Linked DNA regions of Saccharomyces cerevisiae S288C. The protein of the gene in region 2 purifies or fractionates together with the protein of the main gene of each other region. This does not show direct contact. Each region holds a gene or a part of one and is shown on either strand. Other genes may lie near its edges.

Region 1 (3,340 bases), on a different chromosome or scaffold from region 2:
TATTGCAGTTCACCACTGGTACTTCTCGTATACCTGTCAACGGGTTTAAAGATTTGCAAGGCTCTGATGGTCCAAGAAGATTCACTATTGAAAAAGCTGGTGAAGTACAACAATTGCCAAAATCTCACACATGTTTTAACAGAGTTGATTTGCCACAATACGTTGATTATGACAGCATGAAACAGAAGCTAACATTGGCCGTGGAAGAAACCATAGGGTTTGGTCAAGAATGATTATTCCGCACCAATTTTTTTTTTATTTATGGTGTCCGTTTTCCCAACATTCTTTCTGCCTCAATCATCTTGTTTTATATTTCAGCTAACAATAGTAAAGAGAAAACTCTTTTTTGTTAATTTTATCTGAGTTGCTCATGAAATGATTAATCATTGTTGTTTTTACAGCAACATGGAAAGCAGCAAAGAAAATGCAGGAAAACGTGAAGTGCTTTTTTTGATGATTACGCAAAGTTCTTTTCAAGTTCGCCATAAGAGGAGGTTTTCCTTTTCAAAAGGAGCATGATACCAATAATTTATATTGCCTTACGCCTCTTATTTTTTATATCCTCTTTTTAGATTTTATTAATTTTTTTTTTTATTTATATACATATAATGTGCCCTGCTTTTTACAACCATACGTTTTTTGTTTTTTAATTTTCTTGCATTTTAAAACTGAATAGTGACCTGGGTATTATACTACAGTTGAAATTGCTCTCGTGAGGTACATACTTGAAACGAGCGTACTAGGCAATCCCTCTCTTGCCAGTCACCTACACACGGAGAGTATCGGTTATTTGTCGTGAGGAAAAAAGAACCGGATAATAAATTCTTGATTTGTTATATTGTACAGAGAATGACGAGAAGTAAAAAGAGAAACCCGAACAGGACAGAGCGTACATTTTTTATATACCTGTTCTTTTGTGCTTGTAGACGTATATCGTATTATTAAATTAAAAGTAAACCTAATTTGAACCATCGAGATAAAAAAAAAAAAAACGGAGCACTTTTTTGCTCATACAAGCAAAACCGCATTGACACAGCCGTCTCTGTCTGGTTCGTTTGTGACCTGAGCATACTTACCCCAGACAACTTTACCACCAGCAGTAACCATCCCCAATTCCGAAACGTTAACTTCAATAATGGTACCTTTAGTCAAAACACCTAACTGAGTGTACATTGGAGATTGTGGATTCTTCTTAACTGCCAAAATTGGCAAGAAGACAGTTACACCTAATTCCGGATGAGTGACGTTTGCCTTTTTCTGTCTCAACGCACTTGGTCTGATGATTCTTTCCATTTTAACTGGTCTTCTAGTGAAACCTTCACCCACAAAAGTGTGTTTCGTTATCATTCTCTTCCATGACTTGGATCTAGATTTACCTGTTTTAATAACTTTGAACATTTCTTCTTCACTTATACCACGAACCTTTGGTAACGGAACTGAAAACTTATCAGCTTTTTCCAACCTCTTTTGTTTGATCGATGAAGAAATAGCTTTGGCTGTGTTATTTTGTTCTCTGTCCAATAGATATGTCGGCAAAGCATCACCATCGGTATCCAATGGTTTGGATGAACCCTTGACCTTAGATTGTTCATGTGCCTTAATCTTCTTTCTCATTGATACCTTTTCAGCATATCTCTTCTTAGCAAATTGCTTACCCTTCCAACCAGTCAACTTCTGGGCCCGTTCAGAAATCTTATGAGACTCTCTTGCCTCTCTCTTACGTTTCCTTTCTTCGTGATCTAATCTTTTACCATGCTGTTTGATGTGACGCTCGATATAATCGTTTTGAGGCATTGTTTCGTTGTATATATCAGTATTGATACGAGACTGACTACTGACTAAAGATAAAAACGCCAGATACGAAAACCAAGTTCTTCTCTAACTGATACCTAATCCATTCAATTGTCTTAAAAGTGCATCTCATCGCTGTCCGGAAAATTTTTCATCGGATTGTTACTAGAACCGTTGCCGACGACATAAAATTTTTTACGCCTTTCCTGCAAGGTTGAAGAAAAGAAACCGATGAGCTATACCATTCTAAAGTGTCAAAAGAGATGAAGAAATTAAAATTGTCAACTAACACACAAATCCAAGAATGTCTGAACTTAATGCATTATTAAAAGATATCAACGGCTCGCTCACTGCGACATCAGAATCCTTGGAGAGGTTGTCTGGGATTTATAGTAATTCTGCGACCGATGAGATTCCTGAAAGTAACCAACTACATGAGCATCTATTTTACGACGCTAAGAAGCCTGCTGAGAAAGTATCGCTGCTATCCTTAAAAAATGGGAGCATGCTAGGGTACATAAATTCTCTATTGATGCTTATAGGCAATAGGCTAGACGACGAGTGCAAAGATCCTTCTGCTATGGATGCACGTGAACGCTCTATTCAACACCGTGTGGTATTAGAGCGTGGTGTTAAACCACTAGAAAAAAAGTTGGCTTACCAATTGGACAAGCTGACTAGAGCATATGTGAAAATGGAAAAGGAATATAAAGACGCTGAGAAGCGTGCACTGGAAAAATCTACCTTAGTGAATCATAGCGGCAACGACGATAGCGAAGATGATGAGTCTAGTGAGGATGAAATAGCATACAGGCCAAATACCTCTGGAATTATCAACACAAATAAAAAATCATCAGCATACAGGGTGGAGGAAACGGCTAAGCAAGAAAACGGGGAAGAAAACGATGACAATGAGACTGGCGTGTATAAACCACCAAAGATTACGGCTGTTCTACCACCGCAACAAACGCATTTTGAAGATAGATTCGATGCCAGAGAACACAAAGATCGTAGTAACAAATCGCGTATGCAAGCCATGGAAGAATATATTAGAGAGTCATCGGACCAACCGGACTGGAGTGCATCTATTGGTGCTGACATTGTGAACCATGGAAGAGGCGGTATCAAATCTTTGAGAGACACAGAGAAGGAACGTAGAGTCACTTCATTCGAAGAAGATAATTTTACCAGATTGAATATTACAAATAAAGCTGAAAAAAGGAAGCAAAAGCAACGAGAAAGAAATGCAAGGATGAACGTTATCGGTGGTGAAGATTTTGGTATATTCAGCTCAAAGAGGAAGCTGGAAGATAGCACTTCGAGACGTGGGGCCAAGAAGACTCGTTCTGCCTGGGATAGAGCTCAAAGGAGACTGTAGATACAAAAAGTTTATTTTCTTATATCCTAAAGCGTTTATAGACTTAATATTTAAAAGTTAAATATAAATGAAGGGCACTGGTATATAAGCTATTAAAAACAAGAATTTTGGCTTTCACGACATTAACGTGTGAGAGGTTTAGGCACCATTGCCTTTATGATTATTAGTCCC
Region 2 (4,804 bases):
GCTACCTCGATTCTAAGTTATGCTGCATTGACTTTATTGTGTGATATACATATCGATGTACTAGAAAGGGTTTGGTTTGGCCAAGTTTTTTATTATGAGGGTGCATTTTTTCTGTTTTAACACATTTCTCATGATCCTAATAGAAGGTTGAGTAGAGATGTACATAATATTTTGCGGAAAGTTTCGACACGTTCATTAGGTTCTAAAAAATTATTATTTTTCATAAGCTATTGAGATCTTATCACCTTGCTCTGTAATTCTAAAGTTGTTCTAAAACCGCAATTAATGTTTCAATTTTGGCGCTATTAATAATGATGGATACTCAACGAGGCGTACCAGTAGCATTTTGCCATCTTAACACATTAGCAAACGTTGCTATTATTGATCCTTCCATAAGTAATTTCACACATCCATTTTCGTCCCTAAGATAAAACAAAGTCTCACAATTCGTATATTGATATTTCAAACCCCAAAGCCTGTAGCCTTTTGATTATGACCGACTTCCCAGACGTGGCCATATTGATAAAGGTGCTTTCTGATCAAAGTTAGTATTAAAGAAAGGGTAAAATTCGTAATATCGTAATATTGTAATATGAACCAAAAACGTTCACAATGTGTAGGATGCACTACCAAATAGGTTGCGTTGTAGTACTCATCTCTCGGTTGCGCGACTAGAAAGTTACTAGAAAACTCCGGAATTCCTTATAATATACTGCAATAATGCACATGTATCTTTTCAGTGCAAATTAATTATAGGAACAAACAGATAGCGACAATTCTTTAAGGGCTGCTGGATTGACAACCCCTTCATCGACCATATTTGATTAGCCAGCCACCAAATAGCGTTTCAATTGACAAACTACATTATCTCGTGAAGAATATTTAAACGGTGATATTGGGTCTGTCTGATCACATTTCCAAAGGCAATGACGTGTAAATTTTTTCTTTCTCTTGTTTTATTATTTTGAATTACTTCGTTATAGCCAGCTTTTCTCACATTGCGCAGTAAAACTTTCGCTATTAAGATTTTGAAAAATTTCAACCTGACAAACTACCCATTGCTATGTAAGTACAAAGCAAACAGTTTACTGCAGCAGAGTGAAGTAAATTTTTACGCATGAGTGAAAAAGTAAATAGTGACTTTGAAGACTTTTCCTCAGATGAGGAAACCGATCAACATAACGTCTTAATTCAGACCAAGAAAAAAATTTCTAGTAAGGATGATATCTTCAGTAAGAAGGTAGAAGACATCGAAAGTGAAAACGAGTCAGACATAGAAGAAGAGCAAAAACAAGAAGAAAAAGAGGATGTAGAACAACCAGATAAAGAGAATGGAGAAAAGCTCGATCGAGAAGTAGAAGAACAAGCTTCGTCCACCACTTCACTGGATTTAAAAACAGAAAAACTAAGGCAACTGGTAAAATCAAAGGCCGCCAAGAAGTCTAAACACAAGACTGGGGTGGTATACTTCTCCAGTATTCCACCTTACATGAAACCTGCAAAAATGAGACAAATATTAACTCGTTTTGGTGAGGTAGATAGACTATTTCTAAAGAAAGAGGACGATCAAAAGTACAAGCAAAGAGTTAAAGGTGGAGGAAACAAGAAAAACAAGTATGAAGAAGGTTGGGCCGAGTTTATTAGGAAAAGAGACGCCAAATTGTGTGCGGAGACGTTGAACGGGAACATTATTGGTGGCAAGAAAGGTACTTTCTACCATGATGATATCCTGAACGTGAAGTACCTCCCAGGTTTCAAATGGGCAGATTTGACTGAACAGATTGCCCGCGAGAACGATATCAGACAGGCCAAGTTGGAGATGGAAATCTCGCAGGCCAACAAACTGAACGCGGAATTCATTAGAAACGTGGAGCAAAGTAAGATGATACAAAACATTAAGAACTCTAGGAAGCGCGCCGGAAAAGAAGGAGAGTCTGCAGATTCTCACCCTCACAGGGAATTTAAACAACGTCGTGTGGAAACAAGCCGTGCCAATGCTCCCTCTGATATCAAGCAGCAATCCTCTGGGTCCAAAGACTTGGGTAATGTTCTCACCAATTTACTATAATATAGAATCAATAACAAATATATAAACACAACCTGTCATTTAGCACGTTTTTTTGCCCGATGCTCATCGCAAAAATTTTTCGCTTGAAGAAAAATTTTTCACTTTTCTTCTTTTTGGGCATATAAAGAAGCGTAGAATATATAAAAGATATTTACTACTTGTTAGTACTTTCCCTTAAGTGTTAACTTTGAAGATCTGTTGACTTGCAGCAAAACCACTAAATATCAGGGGAGGAATAATACAATGGGTACTGGTAAGAAAGAGAAATCTAGACGTATTCGTGAAGGTGACACCAAAGATGGTAATCTTCGTGTGAAGGGTGAAAATTTCTACAGAGACTCCAAGAGAGTCAAATTCCTGAATATGTACACTAGTGGGAAGGAGATCAGGAATAAGAAAGGTAATTTAATTAGGGCCGCTTCTTTCCAGGACTCCACAATACCGGATGCGAGGGTCCAACCAGATCGTCGTTGGTTCGGTAACACAAGAGTGATATCTCAGGACGCACTGCAGCATTTCAGAAGTGCATTGGGTGAAACCCAAAAAGATACATATCAAGTTCTTCTGAGAAGAAATAAGCTTCCCATGTCATTGTTGGAAGAAAAGGACGCAGATGAATCCCCAAAAGCCAGAATTTTGGATACCGAAAGTTATGCTGATGCGTTTGGGCCCAAAGCCCAAAGAAAGAGACCACGTCTTGCTGCATCCAATCTAGAGGACTTGGTCAAGGCTACAAATGAAGACATTACCAAGTATGAGGAAAAGCAAGTCTTAGATGCCACATTAGGACTAATGGGGAACCAGGAAGACAAAGAAAATGGGTGGACCTCCGCAGCAAAAGAAGCTATTTTCAGTAAGGGTCAATCCAAACGTATTTGGAACGAATTATATAAAGTCATCGATTCGTCTGACGTGGTAATACATGTTCTAGATGCAAGGGATCCATTGGGTACCCGTTGTAAGTCCGTGGAAGAGTATATGAAGAAGGAAACACCACACAAGCATTTAATTTATGTTCTTAATAAGTGTGATTTGGTACCTACCTGGGTTGCAGTATGTTAACTTTTTTTTTTTTTTTTTTGATTCTTTCCAACCAAGAGGATAGCACGAGAGATTTTTTTTTTCGATAGAGTATGATTTTTATTACCAAACCTTTTTGTCAGGGTGCTTCTCTATCCGTTTTAGGATAAACTTATCTACAGAAGTGTCTGTTACTGTTTTGGAAGAGTAATACTGTTCGCTTATCCATATTTCCCCGTTCTGGGGAAGCCTCATGGGTAAATTAGAAGGACAACCTTTGTTTTAAAGGTATACCTTCGCTTTTTAGAACAGCGAGGATCTTATGAGTTGAGCTTTTGTTATTTGAGACTTTATCTCGGGCTCCATACAATATGTTCGTAGTAAAGATCCTCACAATTTTCTACTTTTTTTTTTTTTTTAGTTTAATCCACTCTTCGAAACAATCAATCTCGGCTATAACAATGATTATTACATTCTCTTGGGGCAAAAGATTACCTATTATGAAACAAAATGTATTTTTTACTAACAGAAGGTTTTTTTTTTTCAATTCTAACTTTACAAGTAGGCAGCTTGGGTCAAACATTTGTCAAAGGAACGTCCAACTTTGGCGTTTCACGCATCTATTACCAACTCTTTCGGTAAAGGTTCGTTAATTCAGTTGCTACGTCAGTTCTCACAGTTGCATACTGATAGAAAGCAAATATCTGTAGGGTTTATCGGCTATCCAAACACTGGTAAATCGTCCATCATTAACACATTGAGAAAGAAAAAGGTGTGTCAAGTTGCACCAATCCCTGGTGAAACTAAGGTCTGGCAATATATTACTCTTATGAAAAGAATTTTTTTGATTGATTGTCCAGGTATTGTGCCGCCTTCTAGTAAAGACTCCGAAGAAGACATTTTATTCAGAGGTGTTGTCAGAGTCGAACACGTCACACACCCAGAACAATATATTCCAGGTGTTTTAAAACGTTGTCAGGTAAAGCACTTGGAAAGAACTTACGAGATCTCAGGATGGAAGGATGCCACGGAGTTTATTGAAATTCTGGCAAGGAAACAAGGTAGATTACTGAAGGGTGGTGAGCCTGATGAGTCTGGTGTTTCTAAGCAAATATTGAATGATTTTAATAGAGGTAAAATCCCTTGGTTCGTCCTTCCACCTGAAAAGGAAGGGGAAGAAAAACCAAAGAAGAAAGAAGTTGAGAAGACGGCATAGAGGTAAAAACGGACAACCGGTGTATAATATTAATTTAAGATTACAAGTGATTTTTTTTTTCTTTTTTTTTGTTATTTTTTTTTTTGTTCTTATTATATGGCAGCAAACATTCTTGGGGAAACAACATAGATGGGTAATTATTTAGTTTATAAAGTATAATATTCCAATAGAAAACTTAAGTTCGGTAATGATATAGCCCTCTCTATAGTATAAGGTAAATCTCATTATACCAGTCATTCCAAACGGAATTCGGTCCTTACCCGCTGCTCGCTCTTTTTTCATCATTATGATATTTTCTTTATTGAGTCTTTTCAATTATAGTAGTAGAATGATAACTGACAAGAAAGATCAGTTTGAAGTTTATTAGCGTGTCTCGTTATCAGGGCTTCCTTGTTTTTCATACTGGAAATACTTCGAACGATTAGAAACAGGCAACTCAATTTTATACATTTATAAAGGGTCAAAAAGGATTATGCAATCTATGAATGTACAACCGAGGG

What was found.
Region 1: the proteins of NOG2 (region 2) and NSA2 purify together in Saccharomyces cerevisiae (affinity purification with mass spectrometry; 11 studies listed by BioGRID, with this or other methods). This does not show direct contact.

Annotation. Positions count from the first base shown.
Region 1 is NC_001137.3:412,386-415,725, forward strand, and holds NSA2 (rRNA-processing protein NSA2), read right to left. Parts: upstream 1,795-3,340; coding exon 1,009-1,794; downstream 1-1,008. Other genes in the region: RSP5 (NEDD4 family E3 ubiquitin-protein ligase), read left to right, coding at 1-233; small subunit rRNA maturation protein LCP5, read left to right, coding at 2,096-3,169. UniProt on the Saccharomyces cerevisiae protein: Involved in the biogenesis of the 60S ribosomal subunit. May play a part in the quality control of pre-60S particles. Under normal, rapid growth conditions, high levels of NSA2 would allow the progression of pre-60S particles through the ITS2 processing.
Region 2 is NC_001146.8:720,620-725,423, reverse strand, and holds NOG2 (putative GTPase NOG2), read left to right. Parts: upstream 1-2,311; coding exon 2,312-3,121; intron 3,122-3,212; exon of another isoform or gene 3,213-3,486; intron 3,487-3,653; coding exon 3,654-4,304; downstream 4,305-4,804. Other genes in the region: RNA-binding ATPase activator ESF2, read left to right, coding at 1,118-2,068; CCR4-NOT core DEDD family RNase subunit POP2, read left to right, coding at 4,777-4,804. UniProt on the Saccharomyces cerevisiae protein: GTPase that associates with pre-60S ribosomal subunits in the nucleolus and is required for their nuclear export and maturation.